3 linked regions of the Pelodiscus sinensis genome follow. The protein of the gene in region 2 purifies or fractionates together with the protein of the main gene of each other region. This does not show direct contact. Links are inferred from orthologs where the notes say so. Each region holds a gene or a part of one and is shown on either strand. Other genes may lie near its edges. The genes, in order: EIF3H, EIF4A2 and EIF4G3.

Region 1 (8,507 bases), on a different chromosome or scaffold from region 2:
TGCAGGGCTTGACAAACTATGTAACCTACTCGCGCACAGCGAGTAGATTACAACCCGGAAGAGCCGGGTTCGGGCGATCTGCGCATGCACAGAACGATCTGCGCATGCGCAGATCACCGGACAGTGCGGCTGGCGAGTGAGGCTCACTGCGGCTTGGAGAGCACTGGTTATATGTATACAAAAAAATAGGAAATGACTGGACTAGGAAAATACTGCAGAAAGGAATCGGGGATCAGAGTAGATTATAAGCTAAAAGAAGTCAATGCTGTTGCAAAAAAGCAATCATTATTTTGGGATGTTAACACGAGTGCTGTAAGAAAGACACAATAAGCAATGTAAAAATAAACAAATTGGAGGAAGTCCACAGAAGAGCAACAAAAACTTAACATGATCTTTGAGGAAAGAATGAAAAAAATTGGGTTTGTTCAGTCTGGAATAGAGAAGACTGAGATGGGACATAATAGTTTTCAAGTAAATAAAATAACTGTTACAAGAAGGAGAAAAAAATTGTTCTCGTTAACCTCTGGAGAAAGAACAAGAAACCATACGCTTAAATTACAGCAAAAGAGGTTTAGGTAAAATACTAGGAAAAAGATTCATAGCTCTCAGTGTAGTTCAGCATTGGAAAAATTACCTAGGGAGGTTTTGCAGTTTCTGTCATTGGAGGTTTCTAAAAGTACTTAAATACCTGTTGGAGCAGTGTTCCCTGTAATTTTTTCCATCCATGAGCAAAATAAATTGTATTATATGAACCGTGGCATGTGCAGATATGCACCACCAGTAGAAATACATATTGCAGACTTTGAGTGCTCTGCTAATCAGTTGTGCAGCATTTGAGCTTCTCTTGTGTGGGAGCCCAAGCACTTAGCTTACAGGGAACACTGGTCAGCAGTGACCTAGTTAAAACGCAGTCCTACCGTAAGTACAGCGGACTGGACTAGAACTGTGTTTCTCAACCAGTGATTGAGTACCCTTAAGGGTATTTGAGAGAAGTCTGGGGGATACATCAACACAACTGAAATTTGGAGAAAACAGAAATTTTGTTTTAAGTTTTACAGAGCTTTATTATTTTTGTACTTTTTATACCCAAAAATTTCATTGCCCGCCTGGATACGATTAAATTGTTTAAACAAATGTGTTACAATGGTAGAAAAAAAATGGTATGTCTGAAAACTGTAGGTACTAGGGGTACTTTTTTTTTTTTTTTTTTTTGAAAAAGTAAGTTGAGAAACACTGGACTAGAAGACTTCTGGAGATCCCTTCCAATACTACAATTCTGTGTTTACTTGCACCTTTCCTGTGCTGGAACATTAAAAGGTGGAAAAAAGAAACTGGGGGAAGACCCTGGTAGCAGGTAGTGTTGGACTCCATTACCAAAATACCACAGGTCCCAGAGGCGGCCTGGACATGTGCCTTTACCCTGAACATTGCTCTGCAGGTAGCTTTCAACCCCTCTCGACGCACCCCCAAACAGCAGTACTGATCTATACTTCCTAAGGCAGTTTAGGAAGGAATTTACGCCAGGTACTCCCTAAGAATGTAACAGTATAGTCGACTAAATGATTAACCGATAAACCAGTTTTTATAAGTTAATGTTATCAACTACATGCAACCCCCCTGCCCTGCAAGTAAATTTTAACCAGGCTGGCTGAGTGGCTAAGTCACAGCAGGGGCTGGTGACAGATCCAGGCACTCAGCCATACTGGGTCAAACCAAAGGTCCATATAGCTCAGCATACTGTCTTCCAACAGTGGCCAATGCCAGATGCCCCAGAGAAAGAGAACAGAACAGGGAATCATCAAGTGATCCCTGTCCTGTCATCCATTTCTAGCTTCTGACAAACAGAGGCTAGGGACACCATTCCTACCCATCCTGGCTAACAGCTACTGATGGTCCTAACCACCATGAATGTATCTAGTTCTTTTTTAACCCTTTTAAAATCCTAGTATTCACAACATCCTCTGGCAAGGAATTTCACAGGTTCACTGTACAATGCATGAGCAAAAATTCCTTTTGTTTTAAACCTGCTACCTATTCCTTTCATTTGGTGACCCCCTAGTTCTTATGTTATGGGAAAAAGTAAAGAACCCTTCCTTAGTCACTTTTTCCACACAACTCATGATCTTATAGACCTCTATCACATCCCCTCTTAGTCTCCTCTTTTCTAACATGAAAAGTCCCAGTCTTTTTTCTCTCTCTTCATATGGCACCCATTCCAACCCCCTAATCATTTTGTTGCTCTTTTCTGAACCTTTTCCAATGCCAACATATCTTTTTTGAGATTAGGCAGCCACATCTGCACACATTATTCAAGACATGAGTGTACCGTGGATTTATATAGAAGAAATAAGATGTTCTCTTATTCTCTAGCCCTTTGGGTTATTGGGGTTTTTTTTTGTTTTTGTTTTTTGTTTTTTTTACTACTGCTGCACATTGAATGGATGTTTTCAGAGACTGTCTCAGTTCTGGCTCGTGTGCAAGACCCAGGATCAACCCCCACACCAGCACAGTGCAGAACCGCAGCAGGGGTAGTTGCTGGGTCCCGGCATGAGCCAAGACTGAGCCAGCCTGACCGTGCGCCAGCTATTAATTCTGGAAGTGCTTGTAATGCAGAGCCACAGCGGGGGTAGGAGCCGGATTTGGTAGGAATCGGGACTGAGTGGTAGCAGCACCACCCCATAAAGATAAATTGTGTAGTCGACAAAAAAATGTGTCCACTACACGACTGACAAGTTACACGCTTTTTGACATCCTTAGTATATCCTGGAAACCACCAGCACCAGCCCGCAGGGGGAAGGTGGCCAGGAGCTGCCTTTGTCCTCTGGGAAGGGGTTTCGTCAGCCAGCCGCCCTTATCCCCGGACAAGCCATCACAGGCGGTCGCACAAGCGGAGCTGACCGCCTCTCCCCCAGCCGCGCGGGCTCCTCTGGGCGCCACTCCTGCCTGCCCCAGGCCGATACCAGTGGGGAGGGGAGGGCGGGCACCGACTCTCTCCGCAGAACGTGCCCAGAGCTACACGCCGCGCTGCCCCCGCGCGGCCCCGAACTCTGCTCGCCCCCCAAGCGGCCGCAGGGACCCTCCGCTCACTCACCAGCCCGTCGATCTGCACCTGCTTGACCGCCGAGTCCCCCGGGGCCGCCTTGCCCCTGGCTTTAGTGGCGACCGAGGAGACGGTGCTGGCGGGCCCCGTGGTTTCCTTGCGAGACGCCATGCTGAGAGACTCTTCCTCTCACCCGCTCGCCGGCCGGAAAGAGAAAAATGAAACACCGGAAGCGCGGCTAAGAACCCTGCGGTGGGCTCCTGAACGAGGTTCGGACGGAAACGAAGGGAAGGGTCAAAAAGGGCCGCAGTTAAGTGGATGGGAGACACTGCGCGTGCGTAGAAGAAAATGGGGGTGCGTGTTGGGGAAGGAGCTAGGGAAATATACCCACGCGCGTCACTGATCAGTCGTCACGGCTCTCCTGCCCCTCCCCCTACACGTATGTGCAGAGACAAGCCGTGGGGCGGCCTTGAAGGTGCCGGGTTAGTGTGAGCGCGGCCGAAGGGCGGGTTGTGGCACGTCCGCCCCGTGGGATGCGCTGGGGGAAGCCGCTGTGCTGGAGCAGCCCGAGCGCCTTCCGACTGCGGGAGCTGCGTCCACACTAGGACTGTGCGGGGGTGGGGAAGGTCACTCGCCAAGTGACATAGAGCTGTTCCTAGGAAGGCAGCCCGTGTCCCAGCACGCACACGTGTTGCATCGCTTTGCTCTAGGACAGGTGGTGATACGGTCTCGCATGATATTCTTATTGATAAACTAGGCAAATATAACTTAGATAGGGCCACGATAAGGTGGGTGCATAATTGGCTGGATAACCGTAGTCAGAGAGTTGTTGTTAAGGGTGCTAAATCCTGCTGGAAAGGGAGAACAAGTGGAGTTCCTCAAGGGTCTGTTTTGGGACCCGTACTGTTCAATATCTTCATCAATGATGTAGATATTGGGATAGAGAGTACGCTTATTAAGTTTGCAGATGATACCAAACTGGGTGGGGTTGCAACTTCTTTGGAGGATAGGGACATAATTCAAAATGACCTTAGCAAGTTAGAGAAATGGTCAGAGGTAAACAGGATGAAGTTTAATAAAGAGAAATGCAAAGTGCTCCACTTAGGAAGGAACAATCAGTTCCAAACATACAAGATGGGAAGCGACTGTCTAGGAAGGAGCATGGCGGAAAGGGATCTAGGGGTCATAGTGGACCACAAGTTGAATATGAGTCAACAGTGTGATGCTGCTGCAAAAAAAGCAAATATGATTCTAGGTTGTATCAACAGGTGTGTTGTAAGCAAAACTCGTGAAGTCATTCTGCCGCTCTACTCTGCACTAGTTAGGCCTCAGCTGGAGTACTGTGTCCAGTTCTGGGCGCCACATTTCAAGAAAGATGTGGAGAAATTGGAAAGGGTACAGAGAAGAGCGACAAGAATGATTAAAGGTCTAGAGAACATGACCTATGAAGCCAGGCTTCATGAACTGGGCTTGTTTAGTTTGGAAAAAAGAAGATTAAGGGGGGACATGATAGCGGTTTTCAAATATCTAAAAGGGTGTCACAAGGAGGAAGGAGAAAATTTGTTCCTCTTGGTTTCTGAGGACGGGACAAGGAGTAATGGGCTTAAAGTGCAGCAGGGGAGGTTTAGATTGGACATTAGGAAAAAATTCCTAACTGTCAGGGTGGTCAAATATTGGAATAAATTGCCAAGGGAGGTGGTGGAATCTCCCTCTCTGGAGATATCTAAGAACAGGTTAGATAGACATCTGTCAGGGATGGTGTAGACGGAGCTTGGTCCTGCCCTGAGGGCGGGGGGCTGGACTCGATGACCTTTCGAGGTCCCTTCCAGTCCTATGATTATATGATTCTATGATCAGACCAGGGCTGAATCATTGGTTAAGGGCTTGTGCTGGCAATCCACCGACCAACAGGATTCAAGGCAAATGAGGATGTGGTGCTGAAGACTTCCTAAGAGGATATGGGCTGAGGGTAAAGGAGAGGGGGACAAGCATAGGTAACTGAGAATAATATTAATAGAAATGTAGCCAGGTTAGTCTGGTGTTGGTGAAACAAAAAACAGGACTATGTAGCATTTTAAAGACTAACAAGATGGTTTACTAGGTGATGAGCTTTTGTGGGCCAGACCCACTTCCTCAGATCAAATAGTGGAAGAAAATTGGCAGGACTATATATACCAAAGGATACAATCAAAAAAATGAACACATATAAAAAGGACAAATCAAATTTCAGAACAGAAAGGGGATGAGGGGGGAGTTAAATGACTGTGAGCTAATGATATTAGAGGTGATAATTGGGGAAGCTATCTTTGTAATGGGTATGATAATTAGCGTCCTTGTTAAGACCTAGGTGTAAAGCGTCAAATTTAAGCATGAATGACAGTTCAGAGGATTCTCTTTCAAGTCTAATGTTAAAATGTTTTTGAAGCAGGATGGAGGTAGTTAAGTCCTTGAGACAATGCCCTTTCTGGTTGAAATGGCAATAAACTGTTTATTCTTTGTGATCCTGTCTAATATCTATTTTGTGGCCATTGATTCTTTGGCGAAGTGTCTGAGACGTTTGTCCAATGTACATAGCAGACAGACATTATTAGCACATGAGAGAATAAATTTGTATTTCTGGATGAGCAGGAATGTGTGTTTTTGATCTTATAACTCAATAAGTTAGGTACAATAATGGTATCAGCAGAATGAATATGTGGACAAAGCTGGCAACAGGGTTTGTTGCAAGGTAAGGTTCCAGGGCTGGTATTAGTGTGGTAGGTCCTGTGGTTGTTGGTAAGAATCATCTTGAGGTTAGGTGTGTCTATAGGAGACTATGGGGGTCTGTCTCCCAGAGCCTCTTGGAGTTTAGTATCCTGTTCTGGTATAGGTTGTAGTTTATTGATAATGTGTTGGACGGGTTTAAGTTGGGGGCTGTAGGTGATGACAAGTGGTGTTCTATTGTTGGTTTTCTTGGGTCTGTCTTGAAGTAGATGGTTTCTGGGTATTCGTCTGGCTCTTTCAATTTGTTTTTTTCTTTCTCTGGGTGAGTAGTTGAGGTTTATAAATGGTTGGTAGAGATCCTGAAGTTTCTGGTCTCTATCAGTGGGATTAGAGCAGATGCGGTTGTATTGAAAGGCTTGGCTGTAGATGATGGATCGTATGGTGTGTTCTGGATGGGAGCTGGAGACATGTAGGTAACTATATGTGTCGGTGGGTTTCTGTAGAGAGTGGTGTCTATTTTACCATTGGTGATTTGTACTGGGGTGTCCAGGAAATAGATTTGTCATGTAGAATGGTCCAGGCTGAGATTGATGGGAGCACAATGGCAGCCCCACCATCACCAAGGCACCCTCCTGACCATGGAAGCCATGTTGGTCACCTACCGTTAAGACTAGCATTACCAGGTCAGCTTTAGAGAAGATGGCCCGCTGGCCCCCAGTGACTTATCCAGCATCTTGGCCCCTGCTGCTTCCCCAATCCTCCCTGGCCCCTACTGCTTCTCCCAGCCCCTATCAACTCTCTCCCTAGGCATTCCACCCACCCCTGTTGCCTCCCTGGATTCCCCACCTCTCCCTCAGGCCCCACTTCCTCTCCTCCCCATTACCCCAACAGACTCCCAAGTTCTTGGCAGGCTAGTCTAGACACATACTCAAGCAGGTAACTGCACCTGCTTTGACATAAAAAGAACGTGATTTGGCTTCTCTAGGTCCCATCTGGCAGTGCTGTGCTGCCAGCCCAGTCTCACCACTCTGCTCTGTGTGACTCCGTGGGAGTGCTCACTGCTGGTGGCTTTTCCAGGCAAATCCTTTCAGCTGCACTCAGCCCAACTCCCACCAGGAAATCAAGGGACAAATGTGACTGTACATGCCCACATGTGTCACCTAAGGGGACAAGAGTTAGCACTGAAGATTTTCCAACAGGAAGAATTAGAGGAGAGGGAATGAAGGCTTTGGGGGCTATACAATTGTTGTGTAGACATTTGGGCTGAAGTCCAAGCCCTGGGACCCTCAGAGACAGGAGGTCCCAGAGCCCAAACTCCGGCCCAAGCATCTAAACAGAAATAGTCAGTCCCGCATTCTGATCCTTGCATGGCTCAACTAGTTGACCCTAGCCAGCTGCAGCCATGTAGACATACCCTAACAGGTCAGGTTTGTATGAAGCAGTGATAGCCTTGAGCCTACATAAAAAGAGTATTGTAGTGTGTTGTGAGATATGATATTGTAGGGTGTAATTGTAATACAAATGTAAGGGGAATCAGTGTTCTCCACAGAACAGGTTGAAAGATGTAATTTCCTGGATGTTAGTAGACTTTGGAAATGACTTTATGCTAGCCTTCCTTCTGTCTACTTAAAATTCTAGACTACCTTGCCTATGGCAATTTATATTCTATACTAATACCAATAATTGTGTCCAAGAGCTCCGCACAGGTTGCTACCTGATGTGCTGAGATACCACTGAGCCTGCCAGCAGTGGCAATCTGGACATCTTTTCCACCTATCTTGCTGAACCAGGATATTAATCCTCCTCCAGGATACAGACAGGCAGGGCCACACCCAACTCAGTGTCTGTCATTCTGCAGATCAGCTCTAGGAAGACTCATCTTAAGGAACTTGCCTCAGCATTCAGTACAGACCCAAAGATATATTATGAAATCCACCTCCTCCCTCAATGCGGAGGAAAATATGTACAGTCCCCCTCCCCCCCACCATTATGAATTCCACAATCTGGGTTATATTAAAAATAAGAAATAAGTTTAACTATGAAAGGTGAATTTTAAGTGGTTAGAGAGGTAGCAAACAGAACAAAGCAGATTATTAAGCAAAGCACTCAAACTAAGCTTAATTTACTTTTTAAAAATTGCTCACTGTAGAAATTGTTGCAGGCAGATTAACAAAAAATTCTTGAAAAGCAGCTTCACTGGCCTGCAGCTTGAAACTTCTGGTGTTATTACTAGGGATGTTAAAAAGTGGGTAATTAGGTACTTGTGTAACCGCTGAAAATCTCAGCAGTTACACAGTTCCATGTTTCAGGTTCTGTGGCATACAGCTTATACTGCAGAGCCCACAGTGCAGCCGGCTGCTGGGCACATACTAGCTCCTGTCACCACCTGCCAGCCCCATTCCCGGACAGCTGGCTGCCGCCCCATACTGCTTCCTCTGATACAGAGGCAGCAGCATGGGGCAGCAACCAGCTTCCCAGGAGCTGGTGCATACCAAGAGCCAGCTTTTCAAGCCAGCTATAGGCACACACCGACCCCTGCCTGCAGCCCTGCTGCCAGGGCATGGGATGGCAGCCAGTTCCTGGGCCCACTTCCAGGGAACCAGCTGCTGCCCTGTGCTATGGGCTATGATACAGAGACAGCAGCATGGGGTGAAAGCTGGCTCCCTGATAGTGGGTTAGGAGCCTGTGTGTAACTGTTAGTGGTAACCAATAAGCCAAGATTTATAAATTAATCCTTTAAACTGTTACACTGTTATATCCCTAA
Region 2 (7,831 bases):
GTTCTCACCGACTCATTCATTTTAGGATTTTACTGCAAACAGGTAGGCATCTGAAAAATTAAGGACTACATCATCTGTAGGTAATGTATGCATAGGTGACTCATGACAGCACTTAGAGGTGCACTGATCTCCTATGCCCCCATCAAAATTCTAATGGCTAACTTGGGTGACCCTTCATGCCCCCTCCCTGTTCCTCTGCATGGCCCTCCCTGCAGCCCCTCCCTTCCAGGCACCTGTTGCCTATGTATACATGCCAAGAACAACCATAGCAAATATCTTATGCTTGTGGCTGCTTGCAGTCTACAGGGACCTTATAACCTATGTGGCAATGCTCTGGCCCCCATGGATCCCCATGGATCCTGCATGTCTAGGCAGTTATTGTATGCCTCAGAGGCTCGCTGTGGTCCTCCACACTGCCTTTTATCTTTGCTTGAGGCCAGAGTCACAGCTTACTGAACCATTCTCATCATTGGCAGTCAAAGAAATGGGAGGAATCCCTCTTCTAATCCTGGCCTCCTTTACCCAGGAACAGACTTTTTTTAGTAGTTTGCGGAGGTTTGGGGGAACCCGGGCCTGCCTGCCCACTACTCCAGGCTCCAGCCCAGGGATCCTACATAGCAGCCATTGTCAGGCTATGTCTACACTCGCGGCTTCTTGCAAGAAATATGCAAATTAAGCTAAGCGTGGAATATCACCGAGCCTCATTTGCATACCTAATGAGCCACCATTTTTGCATAAGAGGCTTTTGCTCCAGAAGGAATTGTCTACACTGCTCCTTCTTGTGCAAGAAAAACCCTCTTGCGCAATGCAGTTATTCCTGAAAATAATCGGCGTAATGGCATTGTGCAAGAGGATTTTTCTTGTGCAAGAAGGGGCAGTGTAGACAGCTCCTTCTGGCGCAATAGCCTCTAAAAATGGTGGCTCATTAAATATGCAAATGAGGCTCCACAATATTCTACACTTAGCCTCATTTGCATATTTCTCACATAAGAAGCCACGAGTGTAGACATAGCCTCAGGGTTTTTCCCCCTACCACCAATATAGCAGCCTTTTCCCTGGGCTATTTCCCCAAACGCTCCACTGATACCTGAGCAAATCTTTCCTGCTTCAACCCAAATATTCTCACTGTTTTGTACTCTCTAGCCACCCCCTTCCTCCTCTCAGTCCTCCACTCTTCTCCTTCCCCCTCCCTTACCTGCGGAAGAATCCTTTTAAAATAGCCCAGCAGGCCTTAATTTGCTGCAGGTGCCCACTTAGTTTGCTACTTCAGGCAATCTCTTAAATAGACTCAAGTGCCTGCCTGCAGTCTCTGGCAGTTTATTTAGACAACAGAAAACCATTCACCCAGCTACCCTCCACCAAACTACTGTAGCCAACTTCCCTGGGTATATTACACCTATGAATGTACCAAAAGGTAGTTGAGTCCAATGGTGCTCCGTTCAAATGAGAAATAAATCACCAAATCATATAATAAATCAAAATAGTCATGCAAATAGCTAGTGTATGGGTCTGCGCATGTTGGAGCCATGCTGCCAAATCCTGCTCTCCCTGAAATCAATAGGAAAAAAAACACTCTGACATCAGTTGGAAGTGGATTGGGTCAAGTGCTCTCATAGGAGCAAAACTAGAACATAACTATCCATATTCAAAATTAATAACTTTGCTTATTTACACCTATTTTTCAAAATATAGCCAGTGCATGAGCTTTCAAAGAAGTTTAGTTATCAGGAAAGTTTAAGGCACACGAGGTAAAGGCAGACACAAAGGTTCTGATTATTGCCTGGAATCATTTTTTTTTAATTACAAATTAAATTATGCATAAAATGATGACTTAGTTCCTTGCACCTCCTGCCTTCCACAGAAATCTTCCCATTTACCTATGGATTTTTAGTCCTCATTATCTCTTTCTATATAAAATGTTTTTCATGCCAGGTGACAGAATGACATTATTTCACTCTCAGGCCATGAAAGCAGTCAGAAAGAGGAGGGGTTGGCAAGCGTAGTGAGCATGGGGCACAGCCTGCTAGTAACATTAAAATATACAGTTTTGTGGTTTCCTTACAACATAAAGGTACACTCTGTATATTTGGATTTATCTAACTAAACAGAAAGAAATGGCGTGTTCACTATCTTTTAGCTTTATCTAAGAGTCCATTAGCTCTAACTAGAAATCTAATTGTGCCAGTGTGACCTTTTGCCGTTCAACCCAGACCAGTAAGAGGTTGCCACCACTTGTCCTGTAACCCCAAGTGCTGTGACTCACAGCCTGAACACCCACAGTCAGCAGGTAAGCATGCAGTTTCCTGAGTATCTGTGTGCTAGAACTCCAGCAGCCAGCCTACACTACCACAACCCTACACTGGTCTCAATCTGCGTTGTTTACTACTTTCAGGTTAACCCCAACACACACCAAGTTCTGAAATTTCCCCAAACTGTCCCAAAAGTATCCAGCCCTCTCCTGGAATACTCAGAAGCAATAAGATTTGTTTTCCTTTAAAGAAACAAAAGCACAACTCATTATTTTACCTAGAACTAATAACCACTTCAGTTCAAATTAAGGTTGTCAGCTTTTCCAGTAGGACAGACCAGATGCCATTGCCATGAATGGCATCTAATCTGTCTGGTCAGGAATGTTGGCAACCCTAATTCTGGGCTGAGTTAGATTATGTAACAAAATGTAATAAAAAAGTGATAGGTCTTATGTGAGTTCAATTACAAGAGATAAAGAAACGATTACAAGAAAATAAAAGCAAAATAAGCTTTCTAGAGATGAAAACTTAAACTACAATCTTTGTTCAAGGTAGATTTCTTACCCATGTTTCTTCTTTCCAGACATAGTTGATTTTCTCTTTGTCAGGGCCTTTTACGGAACTACAGGACTTTGCTTTTCTTCCTATGCGAAAGATAACTTGGGATTCTTTGCCCCTCTCTTTTACAGTCCAGTGAACTTTAGAAATGTATCTTTCTCAAAGAAAAGTGCAATTAATCTAATGGAGAGGTTCCATGCTGGATTCTTTCCCACTGGTGCTTTCTATAATACAAATTGATGGGTTCCTCCAACCTCTGTTATGTCAATGTCTGCCAAATGTCTGCAACTGAACTTGGATGGAGCCATCAGCTTTTCCTTTGCTTGGAAAAAACATGTTTGCCAACTTTCCCAGACTTTTCTGGTCCAAACACATTTTAGTCCCATATTTCTTTCATATTTGTGTAGTCATTTAGGTCTCACACACATAAGCGATGCAGGAATCAGTCTGTCAGGGGGTTTTCTAATATTACCTTACACAACAGATGCAGATTATAACATATATTACATTAATTGGGATATACTGAACTGGTCAGGCCAGCTGAAACTCACTACCCCATTTCCCCTGCAATTTGTTCTCTGAGATGCTTCCACACGGGGTTCTACAGCTTCTCCTTCCCCTTGTCTTGCTCCAGTATTGCCAAAGCCATGCATTCAAAACTATCAATCAACCCACCCCAAAGACACCACAAGATTGATTTAAAAATATCAAAAGATTTTTTTTTCTTTCAATTCTTTTTGGGGTTCTTTGGCTGCTGGTCTCATTTTGAAGACTTTCAGAGGATGGTTTTCCAGCCTTTCCCCACAAGGGGTAGACTTTGGTGGGTGGGAGGAGGGAGATAAATGAATGCCTAGAGTCTCCCATAATCCCATGACTCCTGGAGCTCGGGCTTGGCACCAGCATTATAAGACTGGTGATAAAATCCTGTCATGTGGGCTTTCCCCACTGCTGATGCTCAGGCTTTGACCCATTAATCCTTCTCAGCAAGTGCCACTTTCCCCCTCTCCTCCTGGGACCCACATACCCTCCACCCCCAGCTCCCTTCCTCTTTCTTTGCCCCTTTCTCTAGGACTCAGCTACCCCGCTCCTCTTTCCCCCCTCCCCCACTCTCGCTCTCCTCCCCCTCCCGCTCTGAGGCTGTCTGCAGCACGGGCGGCCAAAGAAACCCCGTGCTCAAGCGGTGGGGGCACGAGCAGGATGAGGAAGGAGTGAGACACTGTCACAGCGCCAACTGCTGCAATATCCTTCCGCCTTCGCGTCACACAAAAGAGTCCCCATCTCCGCCCGATCTTTTGGCCGTTGCAGCCTCACGAACCCCACGAGAAATATCATACTCCGTGGTCGTGGGGCTATCCGTGACACAGGTAAACTCTAAACGGGGCATGTATATGGCTCGGGCTGTGTGACGATAGACATATGCCTCCGCTGTGAAGGGCGGAACGAGTTCCGGCAGCTGGATGGCTATATAAAGCCGGCGCCGGGAAGGCGCTGCCTTTTCAGTTGAGGGCAGAACAGACGTGGGGGCTGGAGACCGGAACATGTCAGGTGGTACTACGGATTATAGCAGGTATTCCTGGGTTTGGGGGGCGAGTTCGTGTCTTGTTTTCGTTCTGAGGTGATTTTAAAAGGAAGGCGGGGGAGGAGGAAGCGTGTGCGATGTCGGCTCGCTGCCGTTGGTGGGAAGTGCCAGCCCCGGTGGGTCCCTCTCGCGCTCGTCTGATCGGCCAGTTCTTCCCGCAGCTTGTCCGTTGCGGGGACCCGCCTCTCCACAACCCCCACTCCTGTGGCCCGACCTCATTCGACTTCGAAGGAAGCCGGCCATGGCGTTTCGGCTTGCAACCCCTTCTCCCGCCCCTTTTGGTTCATTCCGGCGCTTCCTGAACCCGGCTTCGGGCGAGTTCATTTTCACGCAGAGGGGGAGGGGCGCGGCCCTCCGGGCGCGTTCCTCCGCCTGCGTAGTGAGTCGGATTTGCGCAATCCCCGGGGGTGGGTGGAGCTCTCGCGAGAGTTGGCCGGTGGTGGCTGAGCAAGGCGGGGTGCCGCGGGAAACTCTTTGCTCTGGGTTCTACAGACGAGCTGGCCCAGGCGCGGGCCGCTCTTGCCTCCACCCTCGCCAGGCGGGTGCTGCAGCGCTCAGAGCAGATCCCGCCATTAGGGTGAGAGTGCTGGGGGGGGGGGGGGGCGCACCCTCTGCCACGTGCCGCTTCCGCGGCGAGGGAGGTGCTGCACGTTGGGGCCTGCTAGCTCTGCGTGCCGTACTGCCCTTTGGGGTGTGCCGCGCCTAGAAATATATAGGTGATCTTACACCAGCGATGGGCAGCCTAAGCCTATGATTGGCCCTCCATCTCCGTGGGGGCTGCAAGATTATTGGAACCAAGACAGTTTCCTGGGATAGGATAGTTTTGCTAATTTCGTATGTGTCTGTAATTTGCAGGGTGTATCCCTCAAACCATAGCAGTGCCTCAGATGAATGCAGAGGGAGTGTATGGCGGTCTCAGTCAATGTGTGCAATCAGCATGAATCTCGCTTTAGTAATACCAGTAGGAAAAAACCTGCACAGGGCAGCCCCTGGCTGCGGGCGACAGTGGAGACTTGGGGTAATGGCATACATATGAATGAGGTGCAAAGGAGATGTAGTTTCCAGGCTGGCAAAATGCTAAAGCATTTGCTAGCATAATCAATCAATCACTGGTTTAAGTTCTAATGGAGTGAGAAATGCTAGTGGTATCCGAGCAAAATGCAGGACAATGTAGCACTTTAAAGACTAACAAGATGGTTTATTAGATGATTAGTGGTATCCAAGATATAGAGATCCTGTCCTACATGGCATTTGTTAGCTGCAAAGAGTGTTAACAGCCTGCTTTTTTGGCAACAGAGACCATGGCGGCCCAGAGGGAATGGACCCTGATGGTGTCATTGAGGTGAGCAGCAGCATAATAGCCTTTAGACCCAAATTCAGTATGGGCATAGGTAATAGAGTAATAATCTGCCTCTTTTCCTTCTTACAGAGCAATTGGAATGAAATTGTTGACAATTTTGATGATATGAATTTAAAAGAATCCCTTCTCAGGGGTATTTATGCTTATGGTTTTGAAAAGCCTTCAGCTATTCAGCAGAGAGCTATTATTCCATGTATTAAAGGTAGGCAAGCACAAAAAAATTTTATGTCTGGTCATCAATAGCAGATATACATGTTAGAAAATAGGTCTTTTTTAAATGTATGTACTTTATGCACTTGTATTTAAGTGTGGTGATGGCATACTACTTTTAATTCTTGCTTGAAAAAGGGAGATGAATGGAGAGGTCTTAATTGCTGATCACTTACTTCAAAAGGAATAGAATTAAACTAAATATGAATTACTTGTGGGAGGAGTAAATATATATCCTACTTTTTTTAGGGTATGATGTGATTGCTCAAGCTCAGTCAGGTACTGGCAAGACAGCCACATTTGCTATTTCCATCCTGCAGCAATTGGAGATTGATCTCAAGGAGACCCAAGCACTAGTATTGGCCCCTACCAGAGAACTGGCTCAACAGGTATTGATAGTGTAGTTAAAAAAAGCTGCTTGCGCGTTGCATAGGTTTCGGGTTTCACAACTGTGAAGGACAGTTAACAGATCTTTTTAAAGGAATCTGTAACTGTAATATCCATTCAGAATCCTTGTTGCTTTGAGTGTAATGGGGAAACAGACTAGCTTCTGTTTTAGGTTTTCCCTATCCACGTAAAGAGGGAGTTAAGATGTGACTTCGGGAGATGATGCTGGGACATGGTGCAGGTAACAGCTGATATGCTGTGTAGTTCTGAATGGGCATCTCCCAGCAAATGGTGAAATCTTAAAAATGATATGATAAAGTGGTAAATTTTTTAATATTTGTATTTTTTTATTGTTTTTGTAAGCCGCCTTGAATATTTTAAATGGAAAGGCGGGGTAAAAATATTTAAATAAGCAATATGTTCTGAGTGGAAACAATGCATTTGAGTGTGCAGTTGTGCAACATGAAAACTGCAGTGCACATATGATCATTGTCTTGTGGTGTCTGTCCCATGCTTCCTCGCATGTTTACTTCACCCTCAAAAGATTCAAGTAATTTATTCATCTTAAAGTGGAGCTGTTTCGTGGTTCTCCAGATTAAAATTACAGGATTCAATGTTAAATGGTTCTAAGAATCCATTGATTCATGGTTTAGTGATACAAGTGAAAGTATAAATAGCAATCTTAAAACCAAATTGCAGACCATTTTATACAGCACAAAAAATTTGCTTAGCACTCAAGTGAGGATATCTTTGGCTTCCTCAGATCAAAGATCAGAGTTTTGCTATGCTTGGATAGTTGTCCAAAGATGATTCTAAACCCCAAATTGATCAAAGTCTAAAAGATATTGAGGAAAAATTATGGTGCTAGATTAGTCAGTTTAGTGGATATCTCTCATTAGATTGTTCACTAATATTTTTACTCTGCCACTGCCTTCACAAAATGAGACTAACTAGAACTGGGTATTTTGCAGGTGATGCTACCTGCATCATTTGGCCTTAACACTGAGGGTCTTGTTTGCCTAACAAAGCAATGAGTTTACCACATAGCTGAGTAGATTGTCTGACCAAAAACAAGTCTCGGCTTGGCTGGCAAGCTGTTCTGCTAGTGCATGTCACCAGAGATGGCTTTCTCAACTCTGTTGAAACTTTGCAGTTTGGCTTGTATGAAAGAAAATTCCTTATCGTATCTGAAGGAAAAGTTCTAGGGTGCAGTTGATAATAGAACTGTGTTGGTAAGAAAATAACTAGTATAAATTCATCCCAAGAAACTAACATGTTGATTATGCCTTTGGTGGTACTCTTGAATTAATATTTTAAATACATTTTGGGGAGTTTAGTACTAACTCTGACTCAGTTACCATACCAGGCAAGTGCATGATACTTGTTCAGAACTGAATAGTGAATTATAGGAATCCGTTTTGGAACCTAGAGAAAGTTAACACATTGGAAGTACTGACTTCAAGGTTTTTATTTTAGATACAAAAAGTA
Region 3 (7,891 bases), on a different chromosome or scaffold from region 2:
TGCCGGTGGCTCCCAGTACAAGCTGGAATTGCTCGGTCCCGGCTCAAGTCCACTCCTGGAGCTACCCCCGCTGCGACTCTGAAGAGCCGTCCTATCGACTAATCGTACAGTCGATACAGATTGCATCAACTATACGATTAGCTAGGTGACTGCCATTTAACATCCTAATTTCAGAGTTCATCTTTGTCTTGTAATAGTCACAAAAATAGCTTTCTAATCAATATGCTAGATTAGACCACCAGAATGGACCCCCATTAGAAACATGTCTGTTCTTTACACCTTAACAGTTTCACCTTCCTTTTTAAAAAATTCCCTTCTCCCTCTTCCCCTCCCACCTTTCGGATCATGTCTCATTTTTTCATTCTTTTCTCCCATTACACACTGAGTGGATAGGCACCAGCTCTTCTCCTACACAGTCCTGTCTATTCTTACTGTTAAAGTGTACAATAACTATTCTAAAATTAACAAAGTATAAGAAATGTTGCTGAAGAGACAAGGACACAAAACTAACCCTGTAAGCCCAGTTTCAGCATTGTAAAATTGATTCAGCTCTTGAACACTACTATCAATGTACAGTACACTGACCACTTGCATCAACAAATGAATCCCTTTACTGTGTTGGGGAGCAAACAAGGACATATGCAGTTCACCCCAGGATGCCAGGAGGATGTTTGGTGCTGTAGCGGGTAATTTTCTCTTGATGTTACAAAAACATTTAGAAACAAACAGAACAAAAATAAAAAGGAATCTGAATGACCCTCTGCATTTCAATAAGTGTTTAAGAAACTAACATCCAAAAACCCAATACTGTTCACAAATACAATCACAGTACAATTTATAGTAGGTACCAGTCTTCATTTACATACACTTCCAGATTTCTGAGAAGAATATCTGGGATACTTAAGTATATTTAAAGAAAAATGAAAGAGCGAATGAAGCATTTGTATATATCAAAAAAGACAGTTGTAGCGTTAAAGGTTCAGGCATTTTATTAAGTAAAAATATATATAACACAATCAAGTCACTAAACATAAATAATAAAATCCAATCTTATCATTGTTCCTCCTCTAGATTTACACCTGCTAAGCTCATCTTATTTACCTCACACTTCTCTTTATTTCTCTTCTTCTTAGCACCTAACCACATTCATTTGAAGTGACAGGCTGTAGCACCACTACTGGCTCCTTTATGACACAATCAACCACTCTCACTGTGAACCCTTTTTGCTCCCTTCTAGGATTAATTCACTCTCCTCCCTCTAACACACAAAATGTCTTTGGTCAAATAGCATCACAGAATTTACCAAATGTGATGACATTTTCCAGTATTATTCTCGAAGTATACACCAGTCTTGCAATGTACACTAAACTAGCATTCAATAAAGTATTCAAGTCACTCAAAGATGCTTTTAACGATTACTTTAAAACAGACTTTTGAAAGCCTAGCACGCAGGCAAGCAGAAACCATTTAACTATCGAGACACAAAAGTACTGTACTGTATGACAAGTGGAAAGTTAAAAAAAGTTCAGACAAACAGCAGCTTGCTGTATAGACCAGCTGAGCACTGACTTAATATGTAAAAGCCAGACAGTCAACTAACTTTCCCACAAGTTCCCCGAGCAATAGTTTTACTTAGCAATGCCATGCTTACTTGGGGAAAAAACGTTTAAGTTATTCTCACTATTCAGTAAGAACTTTTAAAAATATCATATTACAAGCTAGCCAAAAATACAAGGAAAGAGGTAAGAGTTCACCCGAGTTACCACTCTTAAGACTTCACTTTGACCCAAACAGATCTGTATCATCAGCAACCTCCTGATTTAAAAAAATATTTGTGGTTAGCAGCAAGAATGACTCTGAGATCTCAAGAAAACAACAGGCCTAACAGATTATGAAAGGCCTTGATTTTGCCACTTCAAAATGAAAGTAAGAGCAGTAAACTCATTGTACACTGTATGAGAAATATGTTTTGTGTATACATTATACAACTCTTGGACAGTATGACCTCTTTATAAAAATAGTCAGCACTTCCTTATTTAAAAAAAATAAACATTAGTACTAACCCAAAGTGAAACTAACACTTCTAGCTGACAACCACCAATACAGACATCTTAGTGCATGAAACATTCTCAGGTTAACATATTGATTGATTGATCATTTCACCTCCACTGATTTTCTATCAGGATCTTTCTTCATACCCTCCCAAAAGTCACTGAAAATTCAACAACTTTTCAAGGATGCTGTCCAGCATTAGAAACATGCAACATGCATGTATGGACACACAACTTTCCTGATGATCTCTGCAGTATTTACCTCCAGACTTCAGGCCTGAAGAATTAAAACGTTCACACTGAAAGAAACACTGGCTTTTCTTTCAAGCACTAACGTTTTTGGAGGGGGGTCTTATTGAAAATTTCCTCCTCACACCAGACCTATTTACAGAAAAAGATGTCTACTGTGACATTTCCACATGGATTTACTTCCACTACAAATAAAAATCATAATTTAAAAAATCCACAATTCACAGTCCAGCTCCCTAGCTAATTTCACTTTTCTCCTGAGTAAAAAAACAAACAAACCCCACAACTTACCTCAACATGGCCAGATATACTTCACCACACACAACTGACATTTATTATTTGCACTACTACTACTTTGGGGGCACAGGTTGTAGTCATCCCCTACTCCCTTCCCCAAGAGATGTAAAGATGGGTATAGCTCACCCTGCAGTCTGTATTTCAAGTAGAGTGGAATATGCCTCCTTCTCATAATAGGACTATCAATAGATGTAATTCCTCAGTTGCCTATGCTGAAATAATATAGCGCCCCCCACCACCACAGTGGGGGATAAAAGCCCCCAACCCTCCCACAAGAATATGGGGGTGTAACCCCATCTGCACAAACAACGGTGAATCTCCACGAGAAAGGGGGTCGGCCCTCGCTCCTGCCACACTTTAGGGTGCTCCCCACTCCTGAAGGAAGCCCCGCTCACTTACATAGATTCCGGGCTGCAGTTCCCATCCCCCGCACCCTGCCCTACTGGGGGGCTAGGCCCCTGCACACCCCATCCCTGTGCGGGCCAACTCCCCCCCCCGAGGGGCTCAGCCGGGGGGCCAGGCGGAAAGGATACTGTTGGGGCGGCTGGCTCTGTAAGCCCCTGATGTTGGGGTGAGGCGGGGGCGCCCCCGCAGCTGCCGCCGGGTGAGGGGCAGCCCCTGGGGGAGGCGGCCCCGCTGCCGCCGCTGCCCCGCTCCCGGGGCCGGTCCCCGCCGCCGCGGCAGCCGCTGAGCCGGGCTTCAGAGCCGCCTTCTGCGGGACACTCATCGCAACGCGCAGCCACCAGCCCCGCGCGGGGAGCGGGGCCCGGGGCGGGGGGGAGCGGGCCGGGGGACGGCGCGGGGGCAGGGGCAGCCCGGCGGGCCAGCACCACCGGCCGGTCTCCGTGACAACGCGCCTCCGGGAGGGCTGGGGGGAGAGGGGCCGCTCAGGCCGCGCTGCTCATGGGCCGCCGGCGGCCGGGAGTCTCGGGCCCCCTCCCCGGGGCAGGCGGCGCCCTTCGCGGTGGCGGCTCTCGGGCGATGCCGGCGGATTTTCCTCACTCAAGTAGCGGAGCATCAAACATGGCGCTGCGGCCGCCTCCAGCAGTCCGGCAGGACGGACGCTCGGGCGCCTTCGGCCCCCTCCGGAGCCGCTCGGCCTCAGGGCTCTCGGAGCACTTCGGCTCCTTTCGGAACCGCTCGGCCACAGGGCTCTCGGAGCACTTCGGCTCCTCCCGGAACCGCTCGGCCTCAGGGCTCTCGGAGCACTTCGGCTCCTTTCGGAACCGCTCGGCCTCACGGCTCTCGGAGCACTTCGGCTCCTTCCGGAGCCGCTCGGCCTCAGGGCTCTCGGAGCACTTCGGCTCCTTCCGGAACCGCTCGGCCTCAGGGCTCTCGGAGCACTTCGGCTCCTTCCGGAGCCGCTCGGCCTCAGGGCTCTCGGAGCACTTCGGCTCCTTTCGGAACCGCTCGGCCACAGGGCTCTCGGAGCACTTCGGCTCCTCCCGGAACCGCTCGGCCTCAGGGCTCTCGGAGCACTTCGGCTCCTCCCGGAACCGCTCGGCCTCAGGGCTCTCGGAGCACTTCGGCTCCTCCCGGAACCGCTCGGCCTCAGGGCTCTCGGAGCACTTCGGCTCCTTTCGGAACCGCTCGGCCTCAGGGCTCTCGGAGCACTTCGGCTCCTTCCGGAGCCGCTCGGCCTCAGGGCTCTCGGAGCACTTCGGCTCCTTCCGGAACCGCTCGGCCACAGGGCTCTCGGAGCACTTCGGCTCCTTCCGGAGCCGCTCGGCCTCAGGGCTCTCGGAACACTTCGGCTCCTCTCGGAACCGCTCGGCCTCAGGGCTCTCGGAGCACTTCGGCTCCTTCCGGAACCGCTCGGCCACAGAGCTCTCGGAGCACTTCGGCTCCTTCCGGAACCGCTCGGCCCCAGGGCTCTCGGAGCACTTCGGCTCCTTCCGGAACCGCTCGGCCCCAGGGCTCTCGGAGCACTTCGGCTCCTTCCGGAACCGCTCGGCCTCAGGGCTCTCGGAGCACTTCGGCTCCTTTCGGAACCGCTCGGCCTCAGGGCTCTCGGAGCACTTCGGCTCCTTTCGGAACCGCTCGGCCCCAGGGCTCTCGGAGCACTTCGGCTCCTTTCGGAACCGCTCGGCCCCAGGGCTCTCGGAGCACTTCGGCTCCTTCCGGAACCGCTCGGCCCCAGGGCTCTCGGAGCACTTCGACTGCTTCCGGAACCGCTCGGCCACAGGGCTCTCGGAGCACTACGGCCCCCTCCGGAAGCGCTCGGCCTCAGGGCTCTCGGAGCACTTCGGCTCCTTTCGGAACCGCTCGGCCCCAGGGCTCTCGGAGCACTTCGGCCCCCTCCGGAGCCGCTCGGCCTCAGGGCTCTCGGAGCACTTCGGCTCCTTTCGGAACCGCTCGGCCCCAGGGCTCTCGGAGCACTTCGGCTCCTTTCGGAACCGCTCGGCCTCAGGGCTCTCGGAGCACTTCGGCTCCTTTCGGAACCGCTCGGCCCCAGGGCTCTCGGAGCACTTCGGCCCCCTCCGGAACCGCTCGGCCTCAGGGCTCTCGGAGCACTTCGGCTCCTTCCGGAGGCGCGTTCAGGCCTGGTCGGGCAACTTCGGAAATTGCCGAACGCGGGCTTCGGGCGCAGGGGCCCCTCGGGAGCTCGCCGCTTCGGAAGCGCTCGGCCCCGGCCGAGAGGGGCTCGGGTCGCTTCGGCAACACTCGGCTGTTCGGAGACATTGGACAAGCCCCCGCCGCGGCTTCCTCCCGGAGGGCAGGGGCTCCAGGCTGGAGCGGAGGGTTTGGAGTGTGCGCAGGGGCTCCAGGTTGGAGCGGAGGGTTCGGAGTGTGGGCAGGGGCTCCAGGCTGGAGCGGAGGGTTCGGAGTGTGGGCAGGGGCTCCAGGCTGGAGCGGAGGGTTTGGAGTGTGGGCAGGGGCTCCAGGCTGGGATGGAGGGTTCGGAGTGTGGGCAGCGGCTCCAGGCTGGAGCGGAGGGTTTGGAGTGTGGGCAGGGGCTCCAGGCTGGAGCGGAGGGTTCGGAGTGTGGGCAGGGGCTCCAGGCTGGGATGGAGGGTTTGGAGTGTGGGCAGGGGCTCCAGGCTGGGATGGAGGGTTCGGAATGTGGGCAGGGGCTCCAGGCTGGAGCGGAGGGTTCGGAGTGTGGGCAGGGGCTCCAGGCTGGAGCGGAGGGTTCGGAGTGTGGGCAGGGGCTCCAGGCTGGAGCGGAGGGTTCGGAGTGTGGGCAGGGGCTCCAGGCTGGGGCGGAGGGTTTGGAGTGTGGGCAGGGGCTCCAGGCTGGGGCGGAGGGTTTGGAGTGTGGGCAGGGGCTCCACGCTGGAGCGGAGGGTTCGGAGTGTGGGCAGGGGCTCCAGGCTGGGGCGGAGGGTTTGGAGTGTGGGCAGGGGCTCCAGGCTGGAGCGGAGGGTTCGGAGTGTGGGCAGGGGCTCCAGGCTGGAGCGGAGGGTTCGGAGTGTGGGCAGGGGCTCCAGGCTGGAGCGGAGGGTTTGGAGTGTGGGCAGGGGCTCCAGGCTGGGGCGGAGGGTTTGGAGTGCGGGCAGGGGCTCCAGGCTGGAGCGGAGGGTTTGGAGTGTGGGCAGGGGCTCCAGGCTGGGGCGGAGGGTTTGGAGTGTGGGCAGGGGCTCCAGGCTGGGGCGGAGGGTTCGGAGTGTGGGCAGGGGCTCCAGGCTGGAGCGGAGGGTTCGGAGTGTGGGCAGGGGCTCCAGGCTGGAGCGGAGGGTTCGGAGTGTGGGCAGGGGCTCCAGGCTGGGATGGAGGGTTTGGAGTGTGGGCAGGGGCTCCAGGCTGGGATGGAGGGTTCGGAGTGTGGGCAGGGGCTCCAGGCTGGAGCGGAGGGTTCGGAGTGTGGGCAGGGGCTCCAGGCTGGAGCGGAGGGTTCGGAGTGTGGGCAGGGGCTCCAGGCTGGAGCGGAGGGTTCGGAGTGTGGGCAGGGGCTCCAGGCTGGGGCGGAGGGTTTGGAGTGTGGGCAGGGGCTCCAGGCTGGGGCGGAGGGTTTGGAGTGTGGGCAGGGGCTCCACGCTGGAGCGGAGGGTTCGGAGTGTGGGCAGGGGCTCCAGGCTGGGGCGGAGGGTTTGGAGTGTGGGCAGGGGCTCCAGGCTGGGGGCGGAGGGTTTGGAGTGTGGGCAGGGGCTCCAGGTTGGAGCGGAGGGTTCGGAGTGTGGGCAGGGGCTCCAGGCTGGAGCGGAGGGTTTGGAGTGTGGGCAGGGGCTCCAGGCTGGGGGCGGAGGGTTTGGAGTGTGGGCAGGGGCTCCAGGCTGGGGCGGAGGGTTTGGAGTGTGGGCAGGGGCTCCAGGCTGGAGCGGAGGGTTCGGAGTGTGGGCAGGGGCTCCAGGCTGGGGCGGAGGGTTTGGAGTGTGGGCAGGGGCTCCAGGCTGGGGCGGAGGGTTCGGAGTGTGGGCAGGGGCTCCAGGCTGGTGCGGAGGGTTCGGAGTGTGGGCAGGGGCTCCAGGCTGGGGCGGAGGGTTCGGAGTGTGGGCAGCGGCTCCAGGCTGGAGCGGAGGGTTTGGAGTGTGGGCAGGGGCTCCAGGCTGGGGCGGAGGGTTCGGAGTGTGGGCAGGGGCTCCAGGCTGGAGCGGAGGGTTTGGAGTGTGGGCAGGGGCTCCAGGCTGGAGCGGAGGGTTTGGAGTGTGGGCAGGGGCTCTAGGCTGGAGCGGAGGGTTCGGAGTGTGGGCAGGGGCTCCAGGCTGGAGCGGAGGGTTCGGAGTGTGGGCAGGGGCTCCAGGCTGGAGCGGAGGGTTCGGAGTGTGGGCAGGGGCTCCAGGCTGGGGCGGAGGGTTCGGAGTGTGGGCAGCGGCTCCAGGCTGGGATGGAGGGTTTGGAGTGTGGGCAGGGGCTCCAGGCTGGAGCGGAGGGTTTGGAGTGTGGGCAGGGGCTCCAGGCTGGAGCGGAGGGTTCGGAGTGTGGGCAGGGGCTCCAGGCTGGGAGCGGAGGGTTTGGAGTGTGGGCAGCGGCTCCAGGCTGGGATGGAGGGTTTGGAGTGTGGGCAGGGGCTCCAGGCTGGAGCGGAGGGTTCGGAGTGTGGGCAGGGGCTCCAGGCTGGGAGCGGAGGGTTCGGAGTGTGGGCAGGGGCTCCAGGCTGGAGCGGAGGGTTCGGAGTGTGGGCAGGGGCTCCAGGCTGGGGCGGAGGGTTCGGAGTGTGGGCAGGGGCTCCAGGCTGGAGCGGAGGGTTCGGAGTGTGGGCAGGGGCTCCAGGCTGGAGCGGAGGGTTTGGAGTGTGGGCAGGGGCTCCAGGCTGGAGCGGAGGGTTTGGAGTGTGGGCAGGGGCTCCAGGCTGGGGCGGAGGGTTCGGAGTGTGGGCAGGGGCTCCAGGCTGGGGCGGAGGGTTTGGAGTGTGG

What was found.
Region 1: the proteins of EIF4A2 (region 2) and EIF3H purify together in Homo sapiens (affinity purification with mass spectrometry; 3 studies listed by BioGRID and IntAct, with this or other methods). This does not show direct contact. The link is inferred for Pelodiscus sinensis from reciprocal best matches to the Homo sapiens genes EIF4A2 and EIF3H.
Region 3: the proteins of EIF4A2 (region 2) and EIF4G3 purify together in Homo sapiens (affinity purification with mass spectrometry; 3 studies listed by BioGRID and IntAct, with this or other methods). This does not show direct contact. The link is inferred for Pelodiscus sinensis from reciprocal best matches to the Homo sapiens genes EIF4A2 and EIF4G3.

The regions. Positions count from the first base shown.
Region 1 is NC_134712.1:23,924,738-23,933,244, reverse strand, and holds the start of EIF3H (eukaryotic translation initiation factor 3 subunit H), read right to left. Parts: upstream 3,264-8,507; 5' UTR 3,212-3,263; coding exon 3,092-3,211; intron 1-3,091.
Region 2 is NC_134720.1:47,414,390-47,422,220, reverse strand, and holds the start of EIF4A2 (eukaryotic initiation factor 4A-II), read left to right. Parts: upstream 1-4,232; 5' UTR 4,233-4,345; coding exon 4,346-4,374; intron 4,375-5,682; coding exon 5,683-5,728; intron 5,729-5,815; coding exon 5,816-5,948; intron 5,949-6,205; coding exon 6,206-6,345; intron 6,346-7,819; coding exon 7,820-7,831. UniProt on the Homo sapiens protein: ATP-dependent RNA helicase which is a subunit of the eIF4F complex involved in cap recognition and is required for mRNA binding to ribosome.
Region 3 is NC_134733.1:3,596,683-3,604,573, forward strand, and holds the start of EIF4G3 (eukaryotic translation initiation factor 4 gamma 3), read right to left. Parts: upstream 3,706-7,891; 5' UTR 3,325-3,705; coding exon 3,131-3,324; intron 1-3,130. UniProt on the Homo sapiens protein: Component of the protein complex eIF4F, which is involved in the recognition of the mRNA cap, ATP-dependent unwinding of 5'-terminal secondary structure and recruitment of mRNA to the ribosome. Functional homolog of EIF4G1.